Sus scrofa: one gene and its partners. The protein of the gene in region 2 purifies or fractionates together with the protein of the main gene of each other region. This does not show direct contact. Links are inferred from orthologs where the notes say so. Each region holds a gene or a part of one and is shown on either strand. Other genes may lie near its edges.

Evidence for each region.
Region 1: the proteins of MAP3K7 (region 2) and TGFBR1 purify together in Homo sapiens (affinity purification with western blotting; 3 studies listed by BioGRID). This does not show direct contact. The link is inferred for Sus scrofa from reciprocal best matches to the Homo sapiens genes MAP3K7 and TGFBR1.
Region 3: the proteins of MAP3K7 (region 2) and IKBKG purify together in Homo sapiens (affinity purification with western blotting; 8 studies listed by BioGRID and IntAct, with this or other methods). This does not show direct contact. The link is inferred for Sus scrofa from reciprocal best matches to the Homo sapiens genes MAP3K7 and IKBKG.
Region 4: the proteins of MAP3K7 (region 2) and CARD11 purify together in Homo sapiens (affinity purification with western blotting; 3 studies listed by BioGRID). This does not show direct contact. The link is inferred for Sus scrofa from reciprocal best matches to the Homo sapiens genes MAP3K7 and CARD11.
Region 5: the proteins of MAP3K7 (region 2) and PELI3 purify together in Homo sapiens (affinity purification with western blotting; 3 studies listed by BioGRID and IntAct, with this or other methods). This does not show direct contact. The link is inferred for Sus scrofa from reciprocal best matches to the Homo sapiens genes MAP3K7 and PELI3.
Region 6: the proteins of MAP3K7 (region 2) and RIPK2 purify together in Homo sapiens (affinity purification with western blotting; 4 studies listed by BioGRID). This does not show direct contact. The link is inferred for Sus scrofa from reciprocal best matches to the Homo sapiens genes MAP3K7 and RIPK2.
Region 7: the proteins of MAP3K7 (region 2) and XIAP purify together in Homo sapiens (affinity purification with western blotting; 3 studies listed by BioGRID). This does not show direct contact. The link is inferred for Sus scrofa from reciprocal best matches to the Homo sapiens genes MAP3K7 and XIAP.

What each region holds. Positions count from the first base shown.
Region 1 is NC_010443.5:240,905,086-240,908,585, forward strand, and holds part of TGFBR1 (TGF-beta receptor type-1), read left to right. Parts: intron 1-115; coding exon 116-283; intron 284-2,490; coding exon 2,491-2,647; intron 2,648-3,500. UniProt on the Homo sapiens protein: Transmembrane serine/threonine kinase forming with the TGF-beta type II serine/threonine kinase receptor, TGFBR2, the non-promiscuous receptor for the TGF-beta cytokines TGFB1, TGFB2 and TGFB3.
Region 2 is NC_010443.5:58,520,176-58,523,675, reverse strand, and holds part of MAP3K7 (mitogen-activated protein kinase kinase kinase 7), read left to right. Parts: intron 1-17; coding exon 18-146; intron 147-2,186; coding exon 2,187-2,317; intron 2,318-3,500. UniProt on the Homo sapiens protein: Serine/threonine kinase which acts as an essential component of the MAP kinase signal transduction pathway. Plays an important role in the cascades of cellular responses evoked by changes in the environment.
Region 3 is NC_010461.5:125,043,733-125,047,679, reverse strand, and holds the start of IKBKG (NF-kappa-B essential modulator), read right to left. Parts: upstream 2,801-3,947; coding exon 2,614-2,800; intron 164-2,613; coding exon 1-163. UniProt on the Homo sapiens protein: Regulatory subunit of the IKK core complex which phosphorylates inhibitors of NF-kappa-B thus leading to the dissociation of the inhibitor/NF-kappa-B complex and ultimately the degradation of the inhibitor.
Region 4 is NC_010445.4:2,165,378-2,168,877, forward strand, and holds part of CARD11 (caspase recruitment domain-containing protein 11), read right to left. Parts: coding exon 3,477-3,500; intron 1,702-3,476; coding exon 1,525-1,701; intron 632-1,524; coding exon 580-631; intron 1-579. UniProt on the Homo sapiens protein: Adapter protein that plays a key role in adaptive immune response by transducing the activation of NF-kappa-B downstream of T-cell receptor (TCR) and B-cell receptor (BCR) engagement.
Region 5 is NC_010444.4:5,950,052-5,953,419, forward strand, and holds the end of PELI3 (E3 ubiquitin-protein ligase pellino homolog 3), read right to left. Parts: coding exon 3,360-3,368; intron 3,049-3,359; coding exon 2,860-3,048; intron 1,518-2,859; coding exon 948-1,517; 3' UTR 501-947; downstream 1-500. UniProt on the Homo sapiens protein: E3 ubiquitin ligase catalyzing the covalent attachment of ubiquitin moieties onto substrate proteins. Involved in the TLR and IL-1 signaling pathways via interaction with the complex containing IRAK kinases and TRAF6.
Region 6 is NC_010446.5:47,040,634-47,044,133, reverse strand, and holds part of RIPK2 (receptor-interacting serine/threonine-protein kinase 2), read left to right. Parts: intron 1-1,540; coding exon 1,541-1,698; intron 1,699-2,371; coding exon 2,372-2,421; intron 2,422-3,488; coding exon 3,489-3,500.
Region 7 is NC_010461.5:101,427,677-101,431,176, reverse strand, and holds part of XIAP (E3 ubiquitin-protein ligase XIAP), read right to left. Parts: intron 1,516-3,500; coding exon 1,315-1,515; intron 1-1,314.

The DNA of each region.
Region 1 (3,500 bases), about 180 Mb from region 2:
TTTAAGGTACCAACATACTGCAGTCGTGTGGTTCAGGATTGAGAGGGAAAGTGAGAACTTTTAATACATCATAAATGTTCTAAACCCATCTGAAGTATTGTTATTCTACTTACAGATAATGGTACATGGACTCAGCTTTGGTTGGTGTCAGATTATCATGAACATGGATCCCTTTTTGATTACTTGAATAGATACACAGTTACTGTGGAAGGAATGATAAAACTTGCTCTGTCCACAGCAAGTGGACTTGCCCATCTTCACATGGAGATAGTTGGTACCCAAGGTAAGTCAAAGCAGTCTTGTTATTAAGCTTTAAATGTCCTTGGATCTGATGTCCACTTGGAAAAGTTTTGCAAGAAGTCAGTCTAATGGGAGATGTTTAAACTGAGTTTTTAGATGAGAATACTGAGTGAAGTAAGTCAGAAAGAGAAAGACAAATATCACATAATATCACTTATATCTGCAATCTAATATACAGCACAAATGAACCTTTCCACAGAAAAGAAAATCATGGACTTGGAGAATAGTCTTTCTGTTAAATCTTAAGAGTTAGGAATCTAGGAGTTCCCATCGTGGCACAGAGGAAACGAATCCGACTAGGAACCGTGAGGTTGTGAGGTTCCTGGCCTCGCTCAGTGGGTTAAGGATCTGGTGTTGCTATGAGCTGTGGCATAGGCTGGCAGCTACAGCTCCGATTAGACCCCTAGCCTGGGAACCTCCATATGCTGTGGGTGTGGCCCTCAAAAAAGACAAAAGACAAAAAAAAAAAAGTTAGGAATCTGGGATTTTGTTGAGAGATTCTTTAGGTATTGTAACAACACTGATATTTTTGTGTCTTAAGATTGTATAGTCTTGCTTATGATTTTTGAGGATCTTGATTTAATTCAATGAATTTTATTCTTAATTGTACAACCATCAATTACAACCTAATTTTAGAACATTTCCATCCCCAATCCCCAGTCCATTCTCCCCACTCCCCCTGCAGCCTGTCCCCTGTAACCATAAATATTTCGAAGTCTGTGAATCTGTTTCCCTTCTGCAAGTAAGTTCATTGTATCCTCTTTTTGGATTCCACATACAAGTAATAGCATATAATGTTTGTGTCTGAGGATCTTGATTTTGGAATTCAATTTATATGTAGTATTAAATGAAATATGAAAATGCTCGGTAAACATCAACATGCTAGAAATTTTATCTGACCACCTAGTAATTATATTTGACCTTATGATAAGAAGACTGCATGGGACAGTTTTGTAGTTGAAAAATTGAATACTAAGTTTTGGTTATAAAATTTTTATGCTATGTTTGTGCCATAATATCAGATACCAGTTACATTTTCTGCTTTAATGATCATCCACTTGCTATTGATGGCTCCCACCCCCTACATTACTACACACATCACGTATGCTGTTTTACTATTTCAGCCAGCCCTGTCTTTGTAATTTTTATTGTTGATTTTTTATTTTTGAGTTATAATTCACATACCATACAATTTACCCATTTACTGTATAATTCAATGGTTTTTAGTATATTCACAGAGTTGTGCAGCTATCACTACAGTCAATTTTAAAACATTTTCATTGCCTCAAAAAGAACTCTATTTCTCCCCATTTCTTTAGCTTGAGGCAACCTTTAAATCTACTTTCCATCTCTATAGATTTGCTTATTCTGGACATTTCATATAAGTGGAATCATACACTAAGTTGTCTTTTGTGACTTGCTTCTTTCTCTTGGTATATATTTTCAGGGTTCATCCATGTTGTGGCATTTATCAGTACCATTTTTTATGGATATACCACATTTTGGGTGTCCATTCATCAGTTGATGGGCATTTGGATTATTTTTCCACTTTGAGCTATTGTGAATAATATTGCTATGAACTTTGGTGTATAAGTTTTTGTGTGGATATATGTTTTCATTTCTCTTGGACATACACCTGGGAGTGGAATTACTGAATCAGATAGTAACTCTGCCAAACTTTTTTTCCAAAGGTGCCTGTACCCTTTTAAATCCCACCAGCAGCATATGAGGGTTCCAGATTTTCCACATTATAATTATATTTTAATAGCACTCCTAGAGGCTAGTATTAAAGGTACATTCTAGTTGATTGGCAAAGGAAGTGATCTAGATTCTTGGTTGTTGGATTTGAAAATCAGTTACTAGGGTTCCTCTAAAAAATTCAGAGGGTGTCAACAAACAAATTAATATCTTTAACCCCCCCCCCGTCTTTAAGTGTTAGAGTTCCATTTTTTGAGCATCATATTTTAGAGCATCTTATTTTCTCTGCTTTCTTTAAAGGAATTAACTTCAGCAACTTTTTGTGTAATGATTCACTTTAGGTTGTTTAGTAATGGCTCAGTTATTGTGAGTGATGGAGGCCAAAATGCGTTGATAGTGAGTTTGGAGGAGAGGCTTTTGGACCCAAGTTGAGATTTGTGATTGGTATTACCCTTTATGCAACCATGTCTGATTTTTTTTCTTCTTCATTAGGAAAACCAGCTATTGCTCATAGAGATTTGAAATCAAAGAATATCTTGGTAAAAAAGAATGGAACTTGCTGTATTGCAGACTTAGGACTGGCAGTAAGACATGATTCAGCCACAGATACAATTGATATTGCTCCAAACCACAGAGTGGGAACAAAAAGGTACACTTATGGATACACTGTAATGTTCTTAAATCAACTTCTTTTCCTTCTTATTCCTATATACTTATCTTTCTGAAACTCAGCCTTGTACTTCATTAGATTGCCCACAGGTAGAACTACATCTCATGGTCTTGCCTGCTCTGAAGGCAAAGTTACCTGACTTAAAATGGTACCTGCTGATGAATGGTGCCCTTGCAGAAAGTATTACCACTAGTTCTGTTATCATATAATAGCTAATATTTATAGGGTACCTGCTCTGTACCAATCATTGTAATGGGTTTTTTATATAATCTCATTTAATGCTTTCCTCAAATACTGTACTGTAGTCAAACTGTATTCACATTTTTATTTCCTGAAAACGTGTCTTTCTCTCTTTTAACTTTAACATGTGCTGTATCCTAGAGCAGACTTTCTCCTCCTGTTTCTCTAACTTGTACTTAATCTTCCTTTCTCATAGGAATCCTTTTCTGGACTGTTAGGTTGTCCTTGCCAAGGACTCTCATAATATGCTGAACTTGGACTATTGAGGCACTTGGCACATTACAGCTGTCCATTTATTCGTCTGAATATCCAATTGGACCATAAGCTGCTTGAGAGCAGTCTTGTATTCCCAGCATCCATCACAGTGCCTAATACATTGTAGGTCTTCAGTAAATATTTGTTGAATCTATGAGTACTCAAAGAACATAGGTAGGCAGGTGTCACTACCCTCAATTCACAGATGAGGAAACCATCTCATGGAGGTTAAGTAATGGGGCCACCCTCATGGATGGTAAGCTGCAAAACTGAGAGTTGAACCTGGGCCTTTCTGACCCAAAAGGATTTACTCTGTGTATCACAGCATTTGCCACAT
Region 2 (3,500 bases):
CTACCTTTTTTTTCTAGGTAGCAATTACAGTGAAAAATGTGACGTCTTCAGCTGGGGTATTATCCTTTGGGAAGTAATAACACGTCGGAAACCCTTTGATGAAATTGGTGGCCCAGCTTTCCGTATCATGTGGGCTGTTCATAACGGTTTGTGAAACATTTTTCTTCAATATATTTTGTATATTTCCTGTTTGAAAATTGTTTCTCCCCCAAAGAAAACCATTTATCCCTAATATTAAAATATACGATTCCTTATTACCGGTCTCCAACCCTCCCCCACCCCAAAATTGGGTAAGGCTGGGAGCAGCGGTGGCTCTTGTACAAAGCTGAGAAGGTCTGCTGGCTATGCTCATTAGGGAAAGACCATCAGCAGACAGCAGGAGCCACCTACCTAGACCAGCTCTCTCTAGAGGCTAGGGGAGCACTGGGCTAGACTCTGTGGAGAAAATAAAATTTAAAAATTAAATGAATAAAATATCTCACATTTTTGAGATAGTTGGGGAGGTACGGCCTTTTTCTCCTGAGGAAGCAGGTGTCTCACTGAGGAGAGAAAGCAGCGAATAATAAGAGTTGTTAATTAAGGTGCTTCTAAAAGCAAACACAGAGGGCTTCACATTGCCTTCTTTTTTTTTTTAATCTTCTCATCTGTCTTGTGAAGCGAGTACTATTATTGCCTCATTTTGCAGGTTTACATATTAGAAAACTGAGACCTAGAGTGGTTAAGTAACTTGCCCAGGGTCACAGGTGGTATTGTTGGGATGTAAGTCCGGATCTTGCTGATTCCAAAGTTAAACTGATATATGGACACAGTGTCTTTGCATCCCTCCTATTCCTTTTGTACCTTTAATGGTTATATTTCTCACAGTGTTACTAACCATTCATATTAGAATATATCATTAATCCAGTTACTTTCCAGTTGCTTTGGGAGAATAAACTCTTCATGAAGGAAAATTGCTTAACTTTCTTCTAACTTTCAACATCAGTCTCTTGTTTAATTTCTGTCACTTGATTACAGTTATTCTGATTAATAGCATTTTAACACACTATTCCACATGTGATACAAACAAACATCAGCCTCACCGTTTTGGTCAGTCATAGACATGTCAAACAGCCATGTGAGTTATCTCAAGTGTGTTTACCAGTTTCCAGTACCACCTTTCATTGTACTGCCTTTCTTGTCATTATAGAGAATGCTAGAGCATGACCCAGGACACAGTTTGTTTTCTTTTTCTGTCAATCGTCAGTAAATAATTGAATGTTAGTGAAGCAAGGAATAGAAGAAATAACTTGTTAGTTGGTAAATTTATAAAGATTTCATTGTGCATTTGAAGCCTTCTTTACGTTAGGGACCTTACTAAGGATATTACAGCCTTGTTAATTACACCAAAGTTGGCATTTTTCAGCCAATGAAATGATTGATTCACAGTGGTCCTGAGGTCTGCCTCCCGCAAAGGAACCATTTGGAGGTCAGTGAATTTGACATCATAATTGATGATTTTTGACATATGGAAGGTGATTTTTCAAGCACTTTTCAAATTTTTTATAAATCTGAAAATATAGTAAATAATTATCCCAATACCATTTTATTTACCTTAAAAAGACACACACTTGGAGTTCCCGTTGTGGCGCAGTGGTTAACGAATCCGACCAGGAACCATGAGGTTGCAGGTTCGATCCCTGGCCTTGCTCAGTAGGTTAAGGATCCAGCATTGCCATGAGCTGTAGTGTAGGTCACAGATGTGGCTCGGATCCCACGTTGCTGTAGCTGTGGTGTAGGCTGACAACAACAGCGTTTAGACCCCTAGCCTGGGAACCTCCATATGCCACGGAAGCAGCCCTAGAAAAGGTAAAAAGACCAAAAAAAAAAAAAAAAAAAGATGCACATTAAGCCATTATTTTTTGTTAAAAGAGCGTCTATAACAAATTAAACATTATTAACTCTAAGTTGTACTGCATATAAAACTTTCAATTTGGCTTTTCAAAAGGAGCAGCTTCCCCTTTATGAAAATTTAATGTTAATCTAAAGGACAGAAAAAATGTACTTTTATTCCTCCTTTTAAAAAAATCTTAAATCATAAGATCTGTAAAATAAATATTGCTTTGGAAATACATTTTTTAAAGAAAGCTTGTAGCATTCTTTGGGTAAATATACATTCTTTTCTCCTCTCCTCTAATTTTCAATTATAGGTACTCGACCACCACTGATCAAAAATTTACCTAAGCCCATTGAGAGCCTGATGACTCGTTGTTGGTCTAAAGATCCTTCTCAGCGCCCTTCAATGGAGGAAATTGTGAAAATAATGACTCACTTGATGCGGGTATAATCCTTCTTTTGAGGGGCTTTGGGTTTAAGCGAATTTTGTATATACTGAGTTTTAATGCAATTTTAAAGGGGCGCTATTGTCATTTTTTTGCTTATACTTTTCTGTATTTTCCACATTAGAATGAGTATTCCTGACTAATATAGTCAGAGGAAATGTGACTTTGGAGAAAAAAAAAATCTAGTTCTTTATAACGGAAAGGTGGCTAGATTAGGCTTCTAGACTTCTTTTTCTTCCTGCTTAACTTAGTTTTTAGATATGTTTGTTTCTAGTCCTGTTGCCTTATCTGTAATGTGAGAGAGGTTGAATTAGGTGATCTCTGAAGCCTCTGTAGAACTTAGGTATTTTATCACTCTAATACTTGCTAAACAAAATTTTAAATTTTCTTTAGTACAGATCCTTTTCAAGCAGTCATTTATGTAGTAGGTAGAGAGGCTGCCTTCCTAGACGCATTCACCAAAGTGATTTTTAGCCTTCGACTTTTCATTCCATATTTTCAGCTTTTCATTTGCCATTAAAAAGTTAAACTTTCTTAAAGGATCTATAGAATTTTGGTAGAGGAAGTGTTTTAAATGATTATCAGAATTCTCTAGTCTTTAAATCAAACACTTTTTTGTTTAGTACTTTTAGGCCTCTGGTTTTTGGTACACTAACAAAATTTCTCAAGAGGTTCTTTGACTTTAAAAAGTTTATGTCCTTATGAAAGTGTCTGAATTTCAGAACAACTTGCAAAGTAGAAGAATCATTCAATCTCTTTAAATATAGATTAAGAGATTTCCTAAATGGCCAAAGTTCATTCTACTGAAATTCTATTCTAAATAGAAATTCTATTCTAAATACGTCATTCTATTGAAAATAACTTAGGCAAACCACTTGAACAAATCTGATTCAAGCTTAACGTAATATTGGAAACTAGCTATGTCTAGAATCCTAGGACCTAAAGATACACTTCTAAGAAAGCAGCTCAGTCTCCATAATCAGATACCTTAAAACTTTGGATTATATAAATTGTTAAAATCTTAATTGTGCCTATATGTGCTTTGTATAATTTGAGAAGAACACCATTCCCCCCCCAAATTCTCATTTTAATCCAGCAAATATTTCCAATATTTTATCTCTTACAGACATTCATAATCTATCTTTGATATTTAAAATATTGATTCCAACATTTACCCTGTGA
Region 3 (3,947 bases), on a different chromosome or scaffold from region 2:
TGCCTGCGCAGCTCCAGCTTCTCGAGGCTCAGCCTCTCGACCAGGCGCCTGGCCTCGCAGAACTTCTGCATGAGAAACTCCTTCTCCTCCCGCTGGCTGCCCTGGAAACGCTGCAGCTCCTCACAGCGCTCCCGCAGCATCTGGTTGCTCTGCCGGATGGCATCTGGCGGCAGAGGAGACGCAGAGGGAGGTGAGGGCGCCGGCCTCTCCCAGGCAGCGCACTTTCAAAAGCAGTGGTGCCCATCACGTGCCCATGCTTTTCCAATCAAACATTAAACACATCAGGTGCACTGAGAGCTCTGGGTCCGATGCCACCTTTTTTGTAAGTGACGCTGGAACTCGTCTATGTTCTGCTCGGGTGGGAGGCAGGCCTACCCTAGGGCACCCGGTCACTGCCTCCAGGATCAGGGGGCCGGCCACACAGGGCAAACGTCCCTGTGGCCCTGCTGCCGCAGACTGGGGGCCGGAAGCCTTGGAGCCAGCCGGCCGGTCACCGAAGCCCCACCATCCTCATCGACATGTCCCAACGGGGACGATGACACCCATCTCACGGGACAAGGAAGGTCACACAAACAAGCAGCCAAGAGCCGGCACACAAGACCAACTCGGGGACCAGTCGGTCGTCCTCTCCCCACACACCCAGCGGACACCCCAGGCGGCAGAAGGCCATCGTGAGCGACAAAACTCATCAGCGGCACGCAGAGGTTCTAGCAAGCACAGAGCCAGATGACACGGGGCAGGCAGTGGCTTCATGTCACCCTCTGGTCAAAACACGTGACCAGCTAACTGGTGCCTGCTACTGGAACATTCTTTCACTAGAACTTCAGCAAGTTATTTTCTCTCCCCTCCTTTTCTTGGCTGCACTTGCAGCATGTGGAAGTTCCCAGGCCAGGGGTTGAACCCGTGCCACAGCAGCGACCAGAGCCACAGCAGTGACAACACCAGATCCTTAACCCACCGAGCCACCAGGGAACTCCTACGGCAAATTCTGAGCCCCACTCCAAAGCCACCTTCTGGACTCCACGGTCCCCACATGACTCCTCCTGTGCAGCTGACCAACAAGCCTTGGACAAGGCCTCTTGCCGAAGGCAGATGGTCCCCCCCAACGGCCACCTGCCAAGCCTCCGTCCGAGGTTCACCTCAGCTCCCACAAAACCTCTGTTTTGGGGGTTTTTTTAAAGATCTTTTTTTGGGCCGCACTCACGGCATGTGAAGTCCCTGGGCCAGGAAGCAAACCTGCACCACAGCAGCGACCTGAGCCACTGCAGTGGCAACACTGGATCCTTAACCTGCTGCACCACAAGAAAACCCACAACTTTTGTTTTTAATTGAGGTAAAATTCACGTAACAGCAAATTCACCATTTTAACTATTTTAAAATACACAATCAGGAGTTTCCGTTGTGGCTCAGCGGAAAAGAATCTGACTAGCATCCATGAGGACGCAGGTTTGATCCCTGGCATTGGTCAGTGGGTTAAGGATCCGGCGTTGCCCATGAGCTGTGGTGTAGGTCACAGATGAGGCTCAGATCCCGCATTGCTGTGGCTGTGACGTAGGCTGGCAGCTGCAGCTCCAATTTGACCCCTAGCCTGGGAACCTCCATATGCCCCCAATGAGGCCCTAAAAAAAGACAAAAAAAATACACAGTCATTCAGTGGCTTTAATGTATTCATATAGTTGTGCACCCGCCCCTCCCTCTAGTTCCAGTGCATTCCCATCACCCCCAAAAGAAACCTCCCACCCACAAGAGTGTCACTGAATGAGAGGCTAGGGGTGCCCCCCCCGGATGCCCCAGGCTACTGCACCAAAGGGGCAGCTTGCCAGCAGCGGAGGCCCAGGGCACAAACCCGAGGAGGAGGGGGCGCTGTCCCACACGAGGGGGCCAAGAACGGGTCACACCTGAGGGGCACGGAGCCATGGCCCCTGGGACCCGAGAAGGTGACCCCGATACAGGGGAGGACGCGGAGGCTGGGTGAGTGGGGCTGGGACGGAGGCGGGGGGGTGGGGGGTGCCGAAAAGCCCTCGACCCCCCGCCCCCGGCAAGTGCTGCTGGAGCACAGCCCTCCGTCAGGTCCCCGGCGCCGCCTGGCCCCTCCTTCCCAAAGCCGCCCCCCGGCCCTTCCCAGGGAGGCCACGCCCGTTCCCAGCGCAGACCACACCCCCTTCCTGGAGCAGATCCCGCCCCCTTCCCAGGAGACCCGCGCCCCTCCCAGTAAGGCTGGTTCTGACTGACTGGTCAGTACATGAGTACGGAGACACCAGGGCCTGGCGGCGTCGGCCCAACCGGGACAACGCAGAAGGGCCATATTCCAGCTCAAGCCCCTTGCAGGGTGGGCCTCTCCCTGCACCCACCCCTGCTTCTTCGCTGCCCTGCCCTCCCCTCCCCATCTGCAGGGCTGGTCCCAGAGGACTCTGAATAAACCTCCTGCGTGCCTCCCTGGATCTCGGCGTCCACTTCCCGGAAACCCCACCTGGACCAGGGCGGGGGCGGCGGCTGGGACCAAATCACTAACCCGCCCGGGTGCACGCCGCCCCAGTCCCAGGAAGGCAGAGGTGCGGCAGGTGGGAGGCGCCGGCCCGGGATCTCGGGGCACAGGCCCGCTGCCGCCCTCACCTCGGAGCTCTTGATTCTCCTCCAGGCAGCGCTGGAAGGTCTCAGGAGCACCCTGCTCCGAAGGCAGGTGGAGCATGGTTGGCTTCCCCAGAGAGGACTCTTCACCCAGCACGTCCTGGTCCCCTGCCGGGCCGCCGCTAGGCTGCACCATCTCACACGGCTGACTCTTCCAGGGGGTCCTGCTCATCCAACAAGTCAGCGTCTGAAAGAGATGCCAGCAGAGGCATCGCGTGAGGAGACCCAGGCAGAACTCTCCTACCCTGCAGGACAGGGAGTGCCAGGGCCACGCTCGGCAGAAGGACAAGCACTTTGCCAAGTGGAAAAGGCGCTAAAAAGGGCTCTTTGGTCTACGAGTGGCTCACATTCCCCTCATGTGGGGCTCGCAAAGGTCACGGTTCAGCACCGGCCGTAAACGGCGCCTCAGGCTAGCTCCCGGCTGGACGCTGAAGCTGCCGATTTCACCACAGAGGAGAATCGACGGAGATGAGGTTGGGAGGCAGGGGTCGCTGTGCTGGAATGCCCACCCTCCCCACACCTCCAAGCAGTAAGATGGGTCCACTCCCTGGGCCCCGGAACCGGGACTGATTGGGAAAGGGGATTTGTTGGAGTTCCCATTGTGGCTCAGCTGGTTAAGAACCCAACTAGTATCCATAAGGATGCAGGTTCGATCCCTGGCCTCACACAGCGGGTTAAGGATCAGTATTGCCGTGAGCTGTGGTATAGGTCACAGACGCAGCTCAGATCCCGTGTCACTGTGGCTCTCACTCATGTGGGCTGGCAGCTGCAGCTCCAATGAGACCCCTAGCCTGGGAACTTCCATATACCTCAAGTGTAGCCCTAAAAAGCAAAAAAAAAAAAAAAAAAAAAAAAAAAAAAAGGGAAAGGGAAAAGGAAAGAAGGAAAAGGATGTAATACAAGTGAAGGATCTGAAATGAGGTCCTCCTGGATCAGGGGAGCCCTAAATCCAATGATGAGTGTCCTTCTAAGAGACACAAAAGGAGAGACAGACACAGAAGAAGCCACGTGAAGATGCAGAGACTGGAGTGATGCGGCCCCAGCCCAGAGATGCCTGGAGCCACCACAGGCTGGAAGAGGCAGGAAGGACCCTCCCCTGGCGCCCCCAGAGGGAACAGGGCCCTGCCACGCCCTGACTTCAGGCTCCTGGTTTCCAGAACGGAGAGAGGACAAATGCTGTTGTCTTAAGCCATCTGCCTTGGACTCTCTCACGGCAGCCTAGGAAATCAATGTACCTAGTGAGAAGGGCTTCACAGAGACCACTCAGAACCTGGTGGGCATTCCCTGGAGCTGAGCACCCGAAAGCGGGAGCTGGGCTT
Region 4 (3,500 bases), on a different chromosome or scaffold from region 2:
CAGCCGCTCTCTGGGAGTCTGAGCCATTTCCTCCTCCTTGCCGACGGCCCCGCCTGAGCACCTGGGCTGCGGAAGTGCCTACGTGGACCTGCCAGCACCTGGCACACCACAGGGGCTCCCTGCACCTGGGCAAACCCTCGCTAGCCAGCTGTCACTCCAGAGCTGTGCTGGGGATGAGGGAGGGGAATTCTGAGCACAGCGTGTCTTGGGAACCAGGGGCAGCTTGCAGGCTGGGGGCCGCCTGGCCAGCAGTCTGCGAGGTCAAGCTGCCCTCCGGCCGACAGGCCAGGAGCAGACATGCAAAGCTCAGCTGAGGGCTCGGGGGCCCTGGATGGACCCCTGGTGCCGGGGGTGGGGGGGTGTGTGGAAGGGAAACCTCAGATAGGACATTTGTGCAGGCAGACTCCTGCCCTCTCCGATGCCGTGTCCATCTGGACACCCCGCCAGCCACCCTGGGACCCCAGTGCCCCCAAGACCCATCCCGAGTTAACCTCACGGGATTGGTGCCCACGATGGCAGAGACAGAGGGACCCCGAGTCAGAGTGACAGCCTGGGGCGGGATCCAGACGTCTCACTAACCTGGAAAATCGGAGGCGCGCTTCAGGCTGATGGGGGACTTGGCTCTCTGCAGCTGGAGGTGGGGAGCAGAAGGAAGAGACAGAGGACACGATCAGACAAGGCCCGAGACGCGTGTCATCGGAGCTCGGGGAAGAAGGAAACTGAGTCGAGCCCACGCCGGCCCTTGCCACGTGGCTGCTGGAATCACAGAAGGCACAGGATGCCCGTCTCCACGCGGCTCCCCGGCCCCACGCGGGCAGCTGCTGGAATAAACAGCCCCCCAACCCCACCCTGAGGGAGGCTGTGCCATGTGGTCTGGATGGTACATGGAGCGGCAGGGGGGAACGGAGGGTGAAGCTGGGCAGAGCTGGGTATAGGACACAGGAGGATGGCAGGAAAGGAGGTGGCATCGCGGCAGGCTTTGCCGCGCCACGTGTGCGAGGGCGGGGGAGCAGAGGCGCTGCCCGGCCCCCTCGTAGGAGACCATTCCCGTCATTCCTTTGCTCACTCGTCCACTCGCTCACGCACACGTGTTCATCCCTCGGCCCAGGGGTGGCGCAGATACTGGGCACAGCGGACGGGTTTGCTGCTGTGAGTCCAGCGCCCGTCACAAGCCACTAACATCCATAAACGCGTGACAGGTACTCAATACCTATTTGTTCGATAAACGAATGAATTCGGAGGTAATGCCTCTTTCATTCTCTCTCCCTCTTGCTCTCCTTTTTTCCCTTCTACTGCAGGCACGAGAGATGAGGGCATGGATAAAAACAGCAAAGGAAAAAGCACAAGGGGGCACGAGTTCCGTTCACAGCACGAAAACAGGTGGAGAGGCATCTGGGCTCCGAGACCCACTGCGGAACCACGTGGGGGCCCCCCCGCTGCATCCTCGCCCACCCACCCCCATCTCACCGGCCCCACCTGCGACGGTCCCGCCGCCGCCGCCTGCCCTCCTCCCCCCGCAAGCACCTGGATGCCCTTGAGGTTCATCCTCCGCTTGGGCGGGTGGTAGGGCAGGAAGTATCGGCTGTCTTCCGGGGACTCCTCTGAGGTTGAAGAATCGTCAGCCTCCTGCCCGTTGGTCCTGGGGCTGCTGTCCCCGAAGTTCTGAGAGATGATGGTCACGGGCAGGTTTCTGGGCAGACTCTGGAGGCAAGGAGGGAGCCGGGTCAGTGATGGAGCCCGAGGAGCGGATGCCAGCCAGGGGAACGGCTCTGCCAATGTGCCATCATTCCCTCAGGCACCCAAGCCTGAAACTCAGGATGACCTGCTCCCCTTTCCCAACCCCCGCACCCAGCCCGATGCCAGGACCTATCATTCTAGCTCTGCTCTCCTCCCCACAAGCCCTGGTCCCCTCCCTCCTGCCAGGGGCTGGAGCAGCCCTAGTGCTTTTTGCAAGGGCAAAGGGACTGCCTCCTTGCTGGTTGCGGCCCCTCCTCTGATATGCCCCCACTGGATCCCTAATTTCTAGCCCTGCACTGAAGCTGCGAGTATAAAAATTGCTGCTGTGTAACACCAGTGCCAGGCACCGCCCTAAGGGACCCATGTCACGATCTGGGGCCGAGGCGCAGGGACCCTCTCAAAGCTGCACGACACCCTTCTGCTAAGTTGCCTCCAAACGCACAGCTTTGGGCCGTGCAAGAAGTACGATGCAAATCATCACAGTCCAAGAATAACTCAGACCAAGGTCCTTGGCTGACGGGCCACTGTGCTCCCTTCTGCTCCGCCCTCCAGCCACACCTCCCGCCTGTCCCCGCCACCCACTCTACAGATGGCAGAACCGCCAGGGGCGGCCCGTCCATGGCATGCCCTGTGTGTCACACCCCCGGACCTCGGCTTGTGCTGTCCCTGTGGCCTGGAACACCGGCCCCATCCCCCTGACCTAGCGGGGGCCTTGGTTCCCGGATTCGGCAGGCGTGCCCGGAGAGTCCACCCCGTGCCTGGCCCCGCGCCACGTGCTGGACAAACAGAGGCGCCTACAGGGAGCTTCTGCATCATCACACACCGTGGGACATGCCCACAGGGACAGCCTAACACAGAGGCTCCTGGTTTCCATTGTGGGGGTCGGGGAAAGCCTCGCGGAGGAAGTGACACTTCAGCCATGCCCAGGAGAAGTCAGAGGGGCAGCTTTCCAAGTGGGGATCTTGGCCTCTCCTGCAGGGAGGCTCTCTGGAACCCTGAGAGAATGGGGGCCCCCTGCCCTGGGCTCCCGCAGCCCCCCTGCACTCATAATTCACAATCTGGGTTGGATGCCGTGTCAGTCTGCCTCCATCGCTGGCTCTGAGTCCTCGGCGGGGGGCGGGGGCGGGGGCGGGGGGTGTTGTCCCAGCTCCTCCAGGCCACGGTCTCGTGATGCCCTCAGGCAGGTGGCTTAGCTATTTGTATTCCGATTCCACCCTTGGCCACGGGAGACCGTGATCTCACCATCCCGGCAGGTCAGTTCCGTGGCCTAAACGAGACCCTGGCACAGCACCTGCATGAGACGGCGCCCAAACCCACAGCTGCAGGAGTAGCAGCATCTGTTCTGATGGCAGGAACATTCACGTCTGGATGCCTGGGACCCTGCTGTGACATGTGCCCTGAACTTTCTATCACCCGTAAACGGCAGTTTCCTTACGGGCCCTGGTGACTTTAATGGGAGCAGGGCATCTTAAACCCAGCGACCGTCCCGATGGGTTTAAGGAAACCCAGGGGCAAGGCTGAGGGCTGGCAGAGGGCAGCCGAGCACGAGCTGCAGTCCTAACGTGGACGTGGCTTGCCTGAGCCCACCCGGCCAGGGGTGGCCAGGCCAGGGTTTTGCTGCATCTTCCAGCTACAAAACGAGCGGCTTCTGCTCATCGCTACCCAGACGCAGGACGGTCCCGGGCCCCGGTGGGGAAGGGCACGGGTCTGCAGGGCGGGCGCAGGCCCGGCCAGCCCACCTGGTCCAGGCTGCTGCTGTCCTT
Region 5 (3,368 bases), on a different chromosome or scaffold from region 2:
CCAGCACGGCCCCAACCTCCAGGCCCCTTTCTGCCCCGCTGCAGTCCATGCTGCAGCCACTCTGAACCCCTCACTCAGTTCCCTGCACACTTACACCTGAGCCTGTGCCCCGCCTCCCTTCTGTCTGGGGCCCCCTCCCTCCCCTCCTGTAAGGATCCCCAGCCAGCCACTGGGGCTGAGCCCGGATGCACCTCCTCAGTGAATCTCTCTCACTCCTCGCTTTCCTACCCGCCAGTGAGACCGGCTTCACAGCTCCCGATACTTCTCGGATCCTAGCACACAGGAAGCCAGGCTGTCATTCAGTAATTTGGGCTGGCATCCACTAGCCTGCGAACTCCACCGGGCAGGGAACCAGGTCTGACTGTCTCTGTGTCCCCAGATCCCATTTGGCAAGCAGTCCAGACCGCCGTGGGGGCTCAGCGGATGTCAGTCCCCGCCTGCCGCCCACCCGTCACTCACTCGGGGGCGGGAGGCGATGCACGCACGTGGGACGCGCGGGATTTGGGAGGGCAGCTGAGCGGCAAGGTTTATAGAGGAACCCAGAGCAGCAGCAGGGCGATGATCTGGAGCTGGGTTGGCAGGCTCAGGGCACAGCCAGCCTAAGCTGGGGGTCAGGGGCTCCCGGCCCCTTCACTCCCCCAGGGGCACAGTGTAGGCGGCATGATGTGGGATGCCCCAGGACGGGCTGGGGCACAGGGGTGGGCTCCCCTCCATCGGCCGAGTGAGAGCTGGTGCCGATGGCCCCATTATTCTGACTGGGGATAGGAGTCGCGGGGACCCCCTTCGGAGTCAGAGTTAAGAGAGGAAGGGCACAGCCCATCCAACGCGTCCATCCGGCTGGCTATGTGCCAGCAGGTAGAGTCCCACATGCAGAGCTCCCTCTGGGCTGCAGGAGGTGGGGGACCTGGGTGGGCAGGCGGGCGCAGCAGCAGGAGGCCCCAGGGAGCCTAGTCCAGCGGCCCCTGGAAAATGAGGCGGACACAGCCATGCTCGCCAGTGAGCCAGGCCCCGCAAAAGGGGCAGGCGGCATGGAAGGCGTGGGTGCCATGGGGCAGCGGCGTCTGAGCCCAGTAGCGGGCAGTCTTCTCGGAGCAGACGTGGCCGCAGGGCGCAAAGGCGTGACTGGGCGGCCCAGGGTCCAGGCAGAGGCCAGCCTCCTGGCCGAGCCACAGGGGCACATAGGGCCCCACGAGGCGGCAGAGAGGACACTCGCGCTCCTGGGGACCCCGTTCTCGCCGGCAGCCCCAGCCATGGTAGCCGTGGACGTGGCCGCAGCGGACGTAGACCCAGGGCTGCTGCTTGTCGGGTGCAGTGCGGCCACGGGCCGGGCTGGGGAAAGCCAGGGTGCTGAGGCCCACGGGACACTGGGGCCGAGCCGCGTTTGCTTCCTGCCGCTGGGCCTCCAGCTGCTTCAGCGTGGGTGCCCGCAGCAGCCCCGCCGGCGTGCGCCACAGCAGCGTGGCCCCACACAGGTCGATGAGGGAGCCGTCCTGCAGCACGTTGGACTCATTTTCCACCTGCAGGGGCAGCGGAAGGGCCTTAGTGCCCAAGAGGCTCCTGAAACCCCTGCTATCGGCCACCATCACCCCAGACAAGCCCCCCCCCCCACATCCATCCCACTGAACCTCCCTGGAGGGAGCACCCAGAACCAGTGGTGCTGGCTCAGGCAGAGGAGGGGTAGGGCTGGGGCAGAGGAGGCAGTAGGGCTGGGACAGAGGAGAGGGGAGGCCTGGGGCAGAGAAGCAGGAAAGACTGAGAAGCCATGGGAAGGTAGGCAAGTCGTCCCAGGCAGGCACCATTGCTTACTCTCCGTGGAACGTGGGCCTTGGTCACCTCATCTGTCAAATCAGAAGGTCTAGACCAAAATGAGGGTTTTCTAAAACATTTTCCCAGGCTCTCCCCTAATGGAAGAGGCCAGAAAGTCCTCTGTCCAAAACACTGGGGACTTAGCTCAAAGCAGCTGTCCTAAGGGCTGTGGTTAAAAGCAAGGACTCCGGCACTAGATTGTCTGGCTGAAAGTTCCAGCCTCACCATCGTTTCCTAACTCTGTGTCCCTGGGGGAGTAACTCATCCTCTCTGTGTCTTAACTTCTTATCCTCAAGACGGATTCTGCTTCCCTGTCTAGCAAGTGGTTCTCATGAATCCATCAATGTAAACACACAGAACAGTACCTGGAACACAGTAGGTGCTCAATAAGTGTGTACTAGTGAAACAGTCACAGGCATAACTTGAAAAAATAATGTTTCCTCAGATCTCCCCATAGAGTCGATGCTCTGGAAACAAAAGCCATGCTTTTCCTTGGGGTCTGGCATTTCCTTGCCCAACTTGCTCATACAGAGAAAAAACTCTGCGTGGGCCATTTGAGGCGCTTGGCCCCGCGAACCTCACATTAATTCTCTGATCTGTACCATGTGGTACGTTCACTGTCACCTGTGTCAGAGCTTCTCAAGGCCCTTTCCTGCTGGGAGAGAATAAAGCTAAGCCCGTGTGAATGTGACAGACACATTACAAACTGCCAACACTTTAGGCTATAAATTGCTCACACACAGGCCAAGTGTCACCCTCGTAAGAGGGTGTGAATTTTTAAGCGGCTGACACCCCACCGCCACTTGGTCTTGCGCGGTGTGTCTGTGTGCGCCACTTCCCACCCCCCCACGGACCTCTGGCAGTATGTGGGCTCTACTTGCAGATGCTGGTCTGGTCCCCTCTATGGGGACAAGAGGCAACGCCCCCACACGGAGACTGTTGGGGCTCCCTTGTGCAGCAGGACGAGGCCATCGCCCAGCTCGGGCAGGGGGGAAGGGCAGATTGGAAGGGCAGGGAAGGAACGGGGAGGGGGTCAGTGAACAGGCCACCTACCAGTTTCCCCCGCTGCTGTGCCGAGCGGCTGTCCCTCAGAGTGTACACATTCCCACAGACCGAGATCTCCCGCCAGACACCTGGGGCTGAGTCCTCAGAGAAGCCGCCGGCTGGGTGCATCACCAGCACCCCGTTGGTGGTTAAGCCGTCCATCAGGCCGTCGGGGGTCCGCCATTTGGCTGCCCGCTCCTAGGACCACATGTGGGATCAGGTCACATCCCCAAGCGGCCCCCAGCAGGCCAGGAGTGCTGCCCTCTACCCTCAAGCCCAGAGGTGGCCCGGAAAGGACCGGGACTGAACTGGTGCTGCGAGGCCTTGGGCGTCACTTGACCCCTCTGAGCCTGGCTTTGCTCGGTTGTTAAGTGGGGTTGCAAATCCCTGCTTAGGTCATGGCTAGGAGTCAGGCGGGTCCCTCCCCCCAGGATGCCGCCCCTCCTCAGCCTACCCCTCGGCTCCCTCTCAGATGAAGTGCCCGTCCCTCCTTGGGGGGGCTCACTCACTCCAAGGAA
Region 6 (3,500 bases), on a different chromosome or scaffold from region 2:
GAAACGAATCTGACTAGCATCCTTGAGGACGCAGGTTGGATCCCTGGCATCACTCAGTGGATTAAGGATCTGGCTTTGCCATGAGCTGTGATGTAGGTCACAGATGTGGCTCGGATCTGGCATTGCTCTGGCTGTGGCATAGGCCAGTGGCTACAGCTCTGGTTGGACCCCTAGCCTGGGAACCTCCATATGCTGCTGGTGGGCCCTAAAAAGCAAAAAAAAAAAAAAAAAAAAAAAATCAAGGCTCCAGAATCCATGTTCCAGAACACATACTGTATTGCCTTTAGAAGTTAGTCCAGTTTAGCTCTTCATGTATTGGCACAATGTTTCCTTTTCATCTTTTCTATTTTATTTTTCTTAGACCTACCCTTTTATTATGACAATGTATGAAAGATTCATATAGTCAACCCCTCCCCTTTTGGATTGAGGCCATAATTCTTTTTAATCTCAAATTCATCTGAACACTAGATAAATTATTTTATCTCTTAAAAGTAGTAAATATTTTAAGAGTTAAATGATTAAAACACAAATGGTGTCCTGATGGAGCTCAGTCCACCTTGTTGACTCCTAAATTGTGTAGTGGTCTAAATAATTTGAATTAAATGTCTAAATAATTTTAAATGTCTTCAGAGTTTTCCTACACTTTTTTCACTAAATATTGTTTCTGTTCTTACATTTGTGTGCCCCACTTTTTAAGGAACATTTTGTTAGATAGTTTAGAGAATTATAAGATATTGTGTAGTATCTGAACAAAATTTGCAAATGAAATAAAACTCTAAAGGACATGTCAAAAGTACAGAATGGTTGTCACTGATAGTTTTTTAGGCAATCCTTGTCATGAACATAAATATGCTTTATATGCTAATTATACTGTTGTCAACAGATATTCTTTTGTGGTAGGCATAAGTCATATAGGAATTTTATTTATTTCAAAATTTAAGGATACTATTTTTAGCAGATTATAAATAAGAACACATAAACCTGAATTGTAAATAGAACCCAGTGATAATATTAGATATGAATAGTTTAGCAGTTCTGTGAGATATGGATAAATTTTAAAAGCACATGACACAAAGCCGTTTGTCATAAAAAGCAGAGTATTCAGGAGTTCTCCTGGGGCTCAGTGGCTTAAGGATCCGGCATTGTCACTGCAGTGGTTCATGTCACTGCTGTGACTCAAGTTTAGTCCCTGGCCCAAGAATTTCTATATGCCACAGATGCAACCAAAAAAAGTAAAGTATTCAATATATATACTCATTCAGAATAAAAGGCAAAAAATACTCCTGTTTAATTTTTCAAAACTTAGTCTCTCTTTTTAAACCTGTGATATTATGCTAAACTCCAAATTGCTATTGCTTCTAGAGTTGTTGGATTCAGCACTATGGAATCCAGTTTGTTAAGAAACTGGTGAAATATATAGAAATAAAATATTAATATATATATAGCATTTACTGTGGCCTCAAATCCAAATATAAACAAATTCAGTCAATTCTTAGGTTTAAGAGAAAATTCATAAATCAATTATTCTTTTCCCTTACAGATTGCAGATTTTGGTTTATCAAAATGGCGTATGATGTCCCTCTCACAATCACGAAGTATTAAATCTGCTCCAGAAGGAGGGACAATTATCTATATGCCACCTGAAAACTATGAACCTGGACAAAAATCAAGGGCTACTGTCAAGCATGATATATATAGGTACAGTATATTACTTTTCCTCAGAGTTAATCTTGTCTACAAAATAAAAATTTTGAAGCTACATTTTAAAAGTATGATTTTTATGCTTGTCTAGTTTGATGAAAACAAATTAGAGATAGTGGTTAATATTTTTCAAATTAAAGATGCCTTGCTTTAAGCCACTTTTACATCCTTAAAAAATATTAAGGTATTTCTTATTGTTCTATTAATTTATAATATAATATCCAAGGATCTTTATCATATGACATTGATAAGGGGAGAGAAACAGTGTGATTAACACTTAACACTACCAAAGGAGATGGTACTTACCACCAAAAAAAAATCTGTAGAATAGGGCTACCTGGGAGAGTTTTTTATTACTCTTTGTGTGAATAATAGAATCATGTAATTAGAGGGCATAGCTTAATGTGTTCAAGAGTCACTCACAAGTTATCCTTGCCTATAACTTCAAGTTTTCATTACAATAACTTCCTAATTTTTCAAATTGAGTTAATTCCCCTTCAAAACAAAACTATATATGAACATTCATCATCTTAGTTCTATATAGTGATTCTTTAAGCAGCATTTCACTACCTGTCTCTACAGTCAGCTTTTAAATTCAGTACTATTTTAGTTTATTATGCTAGTTTATAATGTACTGTATATATATACATATGTATTTTATCTTAAACAGTTATGCAGTTATCACATGGGAAGTCTTATCCAGAAAACAGCCTTTTGAAGGTAAGTGTACTTTGGCTTCCTTTTTTCAGATGATATCATTTTGGCAAGTCTTACTCACTTGTTTTATTTATTTATTTATTTATTTATTTATTTATTTATTGTCTTTTTGCCATTTCTTGGGCTGCTGCCGCAGCATATGAAAGTTCCTAGGCTAGAGGTCTAATCAGAGCTGTAGCAGCTGGCCTACACCACAGCCACAGCAACGCCGGATCCTTAACCCACTGAGCAAGGCCAGGGATCGAACCCACAACCTCATGGTTCCTAGTCGGACTCGTTAACCACTGAGCCACAACAGGAACTCCCATACTCACTTGTTTTAAATCTCTCTACCATTCATTTTGTGGAAAACACTAGAAAAACATAATAATTTATCAATGTGACTCTATGATATATTGAAAGGTACAGAATTAAAGGTCAGAAAAATGTAGTTTCTTCTTGTTCTGATAGTTATTACCTCTATTAAGGCACTAAGTCTCTTGAGTCCTTATTTTTTTCATCTGCAAAATAAAATTTTGAGTTTTTATTTCTAAGATTCTTTCCAGCTATAAAATTCTTTATATGAATATTTAATTAGTTCTCCTTCTATAAAGACCAGCAAACATTGAAGAATAATTTTTAAATTTTCTGATAATACTGTCTCTTTCTTTTTTGAGGTTTATTTAGGTCATTTTGCTGTGTAACAACCCCAAAATCTCAATAGCTTACAAACTAAACGTTTATTTCTCATTCACATTAGATTTTAGTTGCTATGGCCCTTCTTGGTTCTGTTAAGTTCTACTCAGCTCTGCCAAGCTCTGTTATGCCCTGCTCTCTTCATACTCCATTGGCCAAATCAAATCACATTGCCAAGCCCAGAATTAAAGAGGTAAAGATATAAACTCTTTCCACAAGAGGCAGCCAAGTCTGGCAATAGCTGGGATATAAATATTCCTTTAACAGAAGGGGAGGTAATAAATTATTCCTAAGGTTTTAAGATTCCCTCACTTTCATTTGGTTGGCTTTAGAATATATTTAATATATTAGATCATAATGTATTTCTAATGAATGAAATATATTTGTTTTGACAGAAGTCACCAATC
Region 7 (3,500 bases), on a different chromosome or scaffold from region 2:
TGTAAAAACTTTATTTTGTTTTTTTGGCCACCCTGTGACACATGGAGTTCCTGGGCCAGGGGTCAGATCTGAGTCGCAATTGCAACCTACTCTGCAGCTATGGCAACACGAGATCCTTTAATCCACTGTGCCAGGGACCAAACCTATGTCCCAGCACTCCAGAGATGCTGCCAATCCTGCTGCATCACAGTGGGAACTCCTGTAAAAACCTTTTAAGACAATGAGGAAAATTAAAACCAACTGAATTTCAGGGAGTTCCCACTGTGGCTCAGTGGATTAAGAACTCAACTAGTAACCATGAGGACACGGGTTTGATTCCTGGCCTTGCTCAGTGGGTTAAGGATCTGATGTTGCTGCAAGCTGCAGTGCAGGTCACATATGCAGCTCAGATCTGGTATTGCCATGGCTGTGGCTGTGCCTACAGTGTAGGCTGGCAGCTGCAGCTCTGATTCAACTCCTAGCCTGGGAAGTTTCACAGGCTGCAGGTACAGCCTTAAAAAGAAAAAAGAAAAAGAAAACCAACTGAATTTCAGATGAAATTATGTTAAGTGTATTTGATAATTGTATGCTATGGGCTAAATGTCTAGTTATCTCCCCAAAATTCATGTGCTGAAGCCATAATCCCCAATGTAATGGTACTTGGAGGTGGGGCCTTTGGGAGAAAATTAGGTTTAGATGAGGTCACAAGGATGGGACTCCATGATGGGATCAATGTCTTTATAAGAAGAAGATGAGAAAGCAGAGTGCTCTCTCTTGGCCATGTGAAGACATAGAGAAGGCAGCCCTCTGCAAGCCTGGAAGAGTCCTCCTTACCAGGAACCAAATCTGCCTACACCTTGATCTTGTATTTCCCAGCCTCCAGAACTATGAGAAACAAATGTTGTTTAAGTCACTTAGTCCACGGTACTGTTCGAACAGTCTGAGCAAGCTAACACACATTATCAAGGTTATCTTAAAAAAAGTCCTTACCTGTTAGATATTTACTCAAGTATTTATAGGTAAATGATACATAGAATGTCTGGGATGTACTTTGAAATACTACAACAAAAAAAAGTTGGGGAAAGAAATGAAGCAAGATTGGAAAAGTGTTGATAGTTACTGAAGCTGGTTGATGGGTATGTGAAGGTTCATTATCCTGTTCTCTCCACTTTTGAGTATGTTTGACATTTTCCATAATAAAAAGTTTTAAAAAAATGTTTATCCTAATGGGAATATGAGAGGAGAGAAATGAATGGGCCACAAAGTCATATAAGATACTACCCATAATGAAGTGATGTTAGGTGTTTCTTGTTTTTTGAAACCAGGCATACATACCTTTCTGTAATGAAGTCTGACTTGATTCATCTTGTGCATTGTCTTTCTGAGCACTCACTAAATCTGCAACCAGAACCTCAAGTGATTTATAGTTGCTTCCAGATGTCTCAATCTTTTCCTCCATTATTTTCTTAATGTCCTTGAAACTGAATCCCATTCGTATAGCTTCTTGTACCATAGGATTCTGGAATATGGTATCATCTGAAACGAGAATTGGTGATGAAAATAATCATAGTTTATTTTCATCAACACAACTTAAGAGCAAAGTATAGTTAAAAGAAAAATTTAAGCAGCAAGCAAAAAAAATCAAAACCAAAGCAGCAAACCAAAGCTGCATAGGAAAGAGGATTTTGAAATAGTGAGGCACTGAAGAATCACTTTCAGAATCTTATAATAGAAATGCAGTGAGGGAGTTCCCTGGTGCTCAGCAGGTTAAAGATCCAGCATTGTCACTGCTGTGGCTTGTTGCGGGGGGTGGGATTACTGCTGTGGTGTGGGTTCAGTCCTTGGCCTGGGAACTTCCACATGCCATGGGTGAGGCCAAAAAAAATACAAGTAGGTATTTTGTAGAACTATGAATTGAGATTAGGTGCTTTAAAGACTATGATGAGGGAGTTCCCGTTGTGGCTCAATGGAAACAAACCCGACTAATATCCATGAGGATGTGGGTTCGATCCCTGGCCCTGCTCAGTGGGGTCAAGGATCCAGTGCTGCCACAAGCTGTGGTATAGGTCACAGATGTGGCTTGGCTCTGGCATTGCTGCGGCATAGGCCGGCAGCTGCAACTCTGGTAAAACAGATAAGAAAAGGGTTAAGAGCATCAAAAATTTGAACATCTTTCAAATCAGCTGTACCCATTAACAACTAACATAAAGTACTTAAAAGGGTGGATGTCTTTACTGAGTCACCAGCAATTATTCTGAAAAAAATCAAGAGAAATAGAGAGATGTCCCAGTCTGTGATCTTGAATGTATCAGTTTCCTATCCTCAGACTAAGTTTCTGCAGCTGAGGGGGGTGGACTAGCTAAGGCAGGAAAGCAAATAGAAACTCACTTTAATAATACTCAAAGAAGGAATACACATTGTGATGTGCTAAAGAGGAGAATTCTATCCTTTGACTCATCAATTCCACTCTTGGGAATTAAAAATGAGAACATATGTCCACCAAAGACATACACAAGAATATTCATAGCAACATTATTTATAAAGCCCCAAACTGTAAATAATTCAAATATCTATCATCAGGTGAATGGATAAATTATGGTATATTCAAATACTACACAGCAAGAGAATGAACTACTGCCAGACAACATGGATCAATCTCATAGATATGATAAGCAAATCATCATCATAATGATGAACCAGAGGAAAAAAGGAGTATATACTGTATGATTACATTTTTAAGATGTTCAAATCTAATCTATGGTAATAGTAGAATATAATTTGGGGGTGGATATTTATTGGGAAGAGGGCCTGAAGGCACTTTCTGGGGTGGTGGAAATGCTCTATATCTTGATCTGGATAATGGACACACACACACACGTTAAAATTCACTGAGTTGAACACTTATGATTAGTGCACTTTGAGCATTTTATGTATATTATACCTCAATAACGGTTTTTAAAAGTGGAAGCTGGAAAGGGAGATATATAGGGATTTGATTATGAAGAATATTATATGGTAGGAAACTAACTTAAGACTTGTGGGTTTTTTGTTATTGTTTTTGCTTGTTTGTTTTTTGGCCACATCTGTGGCACATGGAAGTTCCCAGGCCAGGGATCAAACTCACCACAGCAGTGACCCAGCCATTGCAGTGACAACACTGGATCTTTAGCCCACTTCGCCACAGGAGAACTCTTAAGATTTATGTTTGATAAAGAAAAATTCTGGAGTTCCCGTCGTGGCGCAGTGGTTAACGAATCCGACTAGGAACCATGAGGTTGCGGGTTCGATCCCTGCGCTTGCTCAGTGGGTTAATGATCCGGCGTTGCCGTGAGCTGTGGTGTAGGTTGCAGACGCGGCTCGGATCCCACGTTGCTGTGGCTCCGGTGTAGGCTGGCAGCTACAGCTCCGATTGGACCCCTGGCCTGGGAACCTCCATATGCCGCAGGAGCGGCCCAAAGAAATATCAAAAAGACAAAAAAAAAAAAAAAAAAAAAAAAAAAAAAAAAAAAAAGAAAAATTCT